2 linked regions of the Nothobranchius furzeri genome follow. The protein of the gene in region 1 purifies or fractionates together with the protein of each later gene. This does not show direct contact. Links are inferred from orthologs where the notes say so. Each region holds a gene or a part of one and is shown on either strand. Other genes may lie near its edges.

Region 1 (4,325 bases):
TTTTAAGAAACCAGACTTGATTTCTTTAGATCCCTTGATGAGTTTTAGCAGGTTCTTTGCTTATTTTCAGTCCAGTTTAATGAACCGGAGTTATGTCGACTCATAAAAAACACAAAAGAAAGAGTTTGTTACACGTTTAATTGCGTTTATTGGTGTGGTTTAAATTGTTATTGGAAATTAAGAAGCTGACTTACGTTTTATCAGATATTGGCAGAAAAAGTGATATCAAACATCCCTAAAATTTCATCTTTAGACTCTTAGATACCAGCAGACTGTCCAAAAACACAAAGTTTGATTAATTTCCTGTTAAATGTATTGATCTGTTAATTAAATCAGAATTTTAATCCCAACAAGGTGATTCTGGAAAAGCTTGTGGTCCCAACCTGACACGCAGTCAATGATCAACAGTAGGATCATCTACATCTCAGTCAAGACTTTGCTGGATTTGACTCAGTCTTTAAAGACAGGATTGTTTCTGTTTTTGACCTCCACTTGTCCGTTTTCTTAGATATTTAGCACAAACTGCACATTATGCAAGGTCAGATACAAACAATAAGCTGAATTTTTAACAGTTATTCTAAGTATTTGACAGAGCAATAAACAATGGTTCATACAAGACCCATAAGAGTTCTTCTACACCAAAGCCAGCATTTGTGTCCTGAAAAGTTGATGATGTGATGGCAGCAAGGACTGAAGTGTGGCTAGACTGCTCTCTTCTCTGCTGCACAGCCACATACTGTCAGTCACATCTGTGAGCTGTCAGACCATGAATGTGCATACATCTGAGGGGGGTGAGGGGTGTATTAGGCATGCTGATCCTTCACACTCCTCTTGTCAAACTTAACATTAAAATGAAAGTCAGTGGTGAGTGTTCTGAATGTGTGTGTGTGTTGACGGGTGAGAATTTGGGCATTTGAGACAGAAGACAAGTAAGGTCAAAGGAGCCGTGCCTAATCCTGTGGGATGTTATGGTATCTTACAGTGAATGGTGATGGGATGTAGAGATGTGCTCAGTGGTGCATGGATCACAAAAACTTCCTAACTGACAGAACAGGCTCCCAGGAGACCAGTGTCAAAACTGGTGGATGAAAAAAAACAAATGGAAAATGGCAAATTGCCATGAGATTTGTGTTGTCTTTCCTCTAAATCAGAAACATGTATTTCATCCTTTATTTTAAAATAATAAAAGATTAAATAAAGGGTGAAATACATTTTGATTTTTAGTTAGGTGACATTAATTGGGACTGAACAAGTCACAACAATTCCTACATAGTTTGTATTAAATAACTGTTTATATTTTAAATCATTCTGAACGTGTTCTTTCAACCAAAAAATTGCACATCTTTTGACATTAAATTGTTTTAGCCTGACCAGTAGATGGCGCAGTTGCTCAGTTTTAAAGCCTGACACCTTTGCCCCGGAAGAAGTTTTCTGGCCCTTTAACCAGACCAAAAGATAGCTTACTGCTAGCTACCATGGCGCTTGATGTAAAAATCAGAGCGAAACGATACGAGAAACTGGATTTTCTCGGAGAGGGTCAGGTAGGCAGAGAATTATTTCAAAGTTTTCGATATCTACTCTTCGTTTCGCTCACTTTTATTATTTTTGCTTTGTTGTTTAACGTTTTCAGTAACTTGATAACAAGCGTTAGCTGGTAGCTAATGTCAACAAAGCCCCAGCAGCTTCGGTGTGATCACACTAGCTCTAAAAGCATTCAGCGCGTTGTATGCTCTCCTTTAATAACCTTTCTTTCATCTCTTCAGTTTGCCACAGTCTACAAAGCCAGAGACAAACTGACAGACACAATAGTTGCCATCAAAAAGGTACAAAAAAAGTGAAGTTTCTGCTTTAATCGGACACTGTGGTGTTCGGGGTTAAATTTGATTATCTGCTTGTTTTCAGATAAAAGTTGGTCACAAAACTGAAGCTAAAGATGGTAAGTCATAGTCACACCTGTGCCCCACACATACCAAACACTCGTGCTGTATCTTATTGAAAATAAATGTTCTTTTCTTGCAGGTGTAAATCGGACTGCTCTCAGGGAAATCAAACTGCTACAGGAGCTGCATCATCCAAATATCATTGGGGTACTCAAACTATGTTCATGCATTTATGTCCTCTACATTTCCAGTAAAACATCTGGAAAAATCAACCTAATTATTTAATTTGGGTAGATGTGTGTCTGAACGTTTAAGAGGCACTGTGTGTTTGATCAGGCATCTTGGTATTCTCGTGTTATTAATTTGTTTCTTTTAAATGCAGTGTTGGTTATTTACTGTGCTATGTGTTGTAGCTGTTGGATGCATTTGGACATAAATCAAACATCAGCCTGGTGTTTGATTTTATGGAAACAGACCTGGAGGTGAGTTGCCTCCTGTTTTTGATTATATGCACAATTATCCCTCTGATATTATTACTTCTGAATATGATGAAGTTCCGCATTAATATAATAGAACAGTGGTTTCCAACCTAGGGTCTGGGACCCCCCATGGGGGCCTGCTCAGGATTGCTGGAGGTCCCCACAAATGTGTCTGTGCTCAGGTTGTGAGAATACCAAGGTAGTTTTTGTAAGAATTACATTTCTAAAATCCAAATGACACACCCAAATGTATAATCAAATATCTGTATGTCTGTGTAAAGTTTTTAATTAATCATTTTTAATGTGTGGATGCTGGAAGAAGTTGTGGTTGGGGGTTCTGGCTCATCTTGGATACAGGCAAGTGGGTCCCCATGGAAAGAAGGTTGGGAACCACTGTAATAGAACATTCATACAGCTTGTTTTTATATTTGCACTAGATTTTTTTCCCCTGTAATTTAAGTACTATTAAATGGTCTTCACTAAGTCGGGTTAGGGTTAAATTAACTTTAGTTCTGTATATCCAAGTATCATAAGCAATCAGCGTGTAAAATAGCTCTCCCATTTAAGGCTTAATTTTTGGTTGAGGGTTTAAAGAACAAAAAAGTCTTTAAAAATTGATTCAGTTAAACATTCCCCAGGATTTTGGTGAAAAGGTGGTTATGATTGCACTTTTTTATACAAATGAGTAAGTAATGAAAGTGACTTCTTTACAGAATTGTGGTCTAATTTTGATTAAAAAGACAATAATCATGGTATTATAAAATTGTATATACATGTGTTGTGTCGGGTTAAATTCGTTCTTCTTCTTTTTTTTTTTTTTTTTTTTTTTTTTGCATTTGTGGACCACTAGTAATCATTCCCTCAATGACTTTTTAATTTTGGAATTAAATAAAGAACATTTGTGATGTTTAAGGTTTTGTTTAGGGAGAAACGTGTAACATAAGGATGTGTGCTGCAAGATCAAATGTCTTTACAAAAGGAGCAACTAAAATGAAAGTAAAATTATTCTTTCATGCTCCCATTCTCCTTTTTCATTCCGTTTTAACGTGCAAGACTCCAGACGGACGCACACCTCAGACACATTAGACTTTACTGATGCAATAAAAAGACAAAAGTGCTTCCAAATAATCAATATCACTCTCTTCTTGGCTCAAATACATTTATGCCATTAGCAGCTGGCAGGCAGCAGTTAGGGGAGGCATGTGTGAATTATGAGGCTATTCTTTTTCAATAATGTTGTAAACATTTTTAGGTTCAGTCAGTTAATGTTTAAACTATCAGCTACAGATGTTTAGTTTTACGGACATTTTGGGGATTTGTCGAGTAGTTAAAGTGAAGCTGTTTGGTCTGATCTCAGTTCTCTAAAGCTTCCTTGTGTGGGTCAGATAAGCATATTTTTTGTTGTTTTGCTTAGATTTTTTTGTGTGCGTTTTATTTTTTCAGGTTATCATCAAAGACACAAGCCTAGTCTTGACTCCAGCCAATATTAAAGCCTACATCCTCATGACATTACAAGGATTAGAGTACATGCACCAACATTGGGTCCTACATAGGGTACGAGCACCTAAACACCACTCTGTCGTATTCTGCAAATGCACAGAGGTGATTTATTATTTAGAATTATTGCTTCTTTTTTCCTTTATACGTTCAGGATTTGAAGCCCAACAATCTGCTGCTAGACAGTAACGGAGTGTTGAAGTTGGCTGATTTTGGATTGGCCAAAGCTTTTGGAAGCCCCAACAGAATCTACACTCATCAAGTTGTTACCAGGTCAGAGCCGCTGCAGTAATGACAACGATCGTTTTGTTGGCTTTAATCTAATTTTACAAAATAGAATTTCTCACCTCTACACTAAAGATCAAACATTTAACTCTGTATGTTTTCTGTCATCGTTTTTTTAGGTGGTACCGCTCCCCTGAACTCCTGTTTGGTGCCAAGATGTATGGAGTGGGTGTTGACATGTGGG
Region 2 (2,934 bases), on another chromosome or scaffold:
GATTAAGATATTTGTGGTCCCAACTCAGTCAGCAGGTATGTAAGATACAGTGGGGAAAAGTCAATGAGCTATACTTTTGATAAAATAATAAAAATCTGTCATCCAGTTTCTTACCTTCTCTTTTTGAGTAATCTCTCGTTTTGTTCCAGATCTGGGCATCGGAGAGCTCATTCAGGTGGATGTGGATCACCTGAACATCTGCAAACCAGAGAAGAAGGACTCGTTTCTCTACAGACGCAGCCTCCAGTTCATCCAGGAAGCACTCCAGAGATACACAAGCCAATAAAAGACATACAAGCACATCAGTAGTGACATTAAATTGTTTACTTGAAGTTTGAGGAACACTGAGTCCTTCCACCAACAAACTCAAAACCCCAAACCTCTTTTTGTACACGTTTACAACCATAATGTGAGATGTTAACAATCATAATGCAGACACATTTATTTCACACACTTACTAACTGTGATAGATAAACCCGAACCTCTGATTTGTTATCTTTTTACATTTTCCTCCCTTATGTTTTCATTTTTACCGGTCAAAGTCATGTTTCGAGTAAACTCATATTATGAGAAGTACCACCATCTTTCCATTTTAGACCTTGCAGCCACAACAAATATATATTTACTTAAAGATGCATTTTTAAAAACTGCTTCTATGTAGTTTTGATCAGAGTAATGGTTGAAATGTTATTTTTGTATTCATTCATTCTACTGAAACGTGTTGTTTTTTGTGCCAAATGGATTATTTGCCAAGCCTTTTTTAAAATGGCCCTGATTTAATATATTAGGTCAACTCTATTAATTTTATTACATTAATTATGCATCACAATGGGCCAACATATACTAGAAATGAGAATAAATCAAATGAATGAGTACATTTGTTGAGTTTGACTTGTCTATGCATTCATTAAATGATGTATTAAAATACTGAATACAACAGAATTGTTAAATGGAAATCGTTTGGTGTTTATTTTCTAACTTAATCTGACAAAAAGTAATTTAACAAGCATCCATTGCAAAATAGTTAAAAACAAATGTACATGTGCAATACTCACACACACATGCATACGTACGCATGTATACATATGTATGTATGCATGTACATACACGTACACGTTTGTTCAGAAATCTTGCATTATAGATCACTTGGTGGAATTGGGCTGGGAGTAAAGCACAGGAGCGTCAAATATTTTTAATAACAATTTTTCAAAAATCACAGTGAAATCGTTATAATATAAGCAGATAATTACGTGAAATGTACCAGATAGCGTGGAAGAACATGTTAAACGGAAGTGGCAAAAATGCGCATCCTTCAATGCTATAGTGGTAGAGGAAGATTGTCCCTGGTTGCTCGCCGTAGATCTTACCTCAATGCTACGGAACTTAGCTTAAAAAGCAGCTGCTGTTGGGTCTGAACGAGTAGTTTTACACGATTTCTTACCAACTTTAGTGTTCTCCCGAACATTGTGGTTGTTGTGGTAAGTTTTAATTAGAACGTTTTGCTTAAAAGTGTTGCAAAATACGTTGTTAGCTTGTTATTTTTAGCTTGTTTACTATTTCTCATGAATTTTCTCTGTACATTAACTGTCCGGTATGAATATGTGTTGTATATGCATACAGTATTTATGTTACTGTCGCAACATTTTTGCACGTTTTGTTTATTTTGCAGACTTTAATCAACTACACCTGTCATCATGGTGAATGTTCACAAGGGTGTTCTTGTTGAATGGTAAGGAACTTCAGAGTGAAGAAAACTGTAAAATTACTTTCTTCTGTAGAAAACTCCTACAATTATAATGTCTTTTTCCTCTCCATGTTCTGTTTCAGTGATCCTGCTATGAAACAGTTTCTCCTCTACCTAGATGAAACCATGGCTTTAGGAAAGAAGTTCATCATCAAGGATCTTGACGACACACACGTTTTTATCCTGGCAGAGGTGGTCCAGACTCTTCAGGAGAGAGTTGGGGAGTTAATGGACCAGAATTCATTCCCCATCACGCAAAAATAACCCTCAGATCTTTGACTTTCCTCTCATGGACTACTCAATTTGTTGTTGTTTGCTTTTGCTTAATAAAATGAGACATGTAAATGTTTTGGTTTGATAAAAGTGGAAGTGATCAATTGGATAAAAAGTTTCTATTTTTGTGGAGTTCTTTTTCACTTGTAGATGGGGAACAAAAATAATCTATTAAAAGTACTTGTTAATTCACACCATAATTTAACCAAATCAGATTTTTCATTTAATCTAGTTCCGATAGAAAAATAGAAAATCCCTTTATCCACAGTGGAGAAATTTGGGTTAAAGGAATATATGTACATATCTAGAATGGCATGCCAGCCTAGCAATTACATTCATGGCAGGAGCAAAATGAGAAAAATATGATAAACAAAACCTCACAGTTACCTAAGGCATTTGAAGAGGTACATTACAACAGAGTAATTATTGTGAGAAAATAATTCAATTGTTGTTTTTATGATATCAGGGATTCAATTAGTGCTTTCAGATAGAAACCAGAGAAGAAATTGACATTTCTCACAAATCTCATAACGTTAATGAAATACTGAGATAATGAGTTTTCCCTGTTTAAAATGTTTTGCCACCTTCAGTTTGTTCTATTGATGAATGAAATGACAGAGATACAGTTATAATTGTGAAAAGTCTAACACTAGACAGTGTCCCTAATGTTATGTTAGGTGGACAGAAACTGCAAATGTACTTTTAACATGTCTGAGGATAGAAATTTTATAAACGAGCAAATTCTACATCCGAGCATTTCAGTAATGTAACACAGTTGTTTCCTCCAGTGGTTAAATGACCATCGGACTGTCAGAGAGCAGCATGGAATGACAGAAAGAACAAGAAATATAAAGACAGCAGTGGTTCAACACAAAGCATTACATTGTTTGTGGAATGGTTTTGCAGGCTCTGGGACC

Evidence for each region.
Region 2: the proteins of cdk7 (region 1) and gtf2h5 purify together in Homo sapiens (affinity purification with mass spectrometry; 7 studies listed by BioGRID and IntAct, with this or other methods). This does not show direct contact. The link is inferred for Nothobranchius furzeri from reciprocal best matches to the Homo sapiens genes CDK7 and GTF2H5.

Annotation. Positions count from the first base shown.
Region 1 is NC_091757.1:44,652,787-44,657,111, reverse strand, and holds the start of cdk7 (cyclin-dependent kinase 7), read left to right. Parts: upstream 1-1,424; 5' UTR 1,425-1,475; coding exon 1,476-1,541; intron 1,542-1,763; coding exon 1,764-1,823; intron 1,824-1,902; coding exon 1,903-1,936; intron 1,937-2,019; coding exon 2,020-2,087; intron 2,088-2,293; coding exon 2,294-2,362; intron 2,363-3,802; coding exon 3,803-3,913; intron 3,914-4,010; coding exon 4,011-4,129; intron 4,130-4,260; coding exon 4,261-4,325. UniProt on the Homo sapiens protein: Serine/threonine kinase involved in cell cycle control and in RNA polymerase II-mediated RNA transcription. Cyclin-dependent kinases (CDKs) are activated by the binding to a cyclin and mediate the progression through the cell cycle.
Region 2 is NC_091742.1:2,693,410-2,696,343, reverse strand, and holds gtf2h5 (general transcription factor IIH subunit 5), read left to right. Parts: upstream 1-1,338; 5' UTR 1,339-1,478; intron 1,479-1,669; 5' UTR 1,670-1,694; coding exon 1,695-1,729; intron 1,730-1,827; coding exon 1,828-2,008; 3' UTR 2,009-2,143; downstream 2,144-2,934. Other genes in the region: protein SERAC1, read left to right, coding at 1-35, 150-286. UniProt on the Homo sapiens protein: Component of the general transcription and DNA repair factor IIH (TFIIH) core complex, which is involved in general and transcription-coupled nucleotide excision repair (NER) of damaged DNA and, when complexed to CAK, in RNA transcription by RNA polymerase II.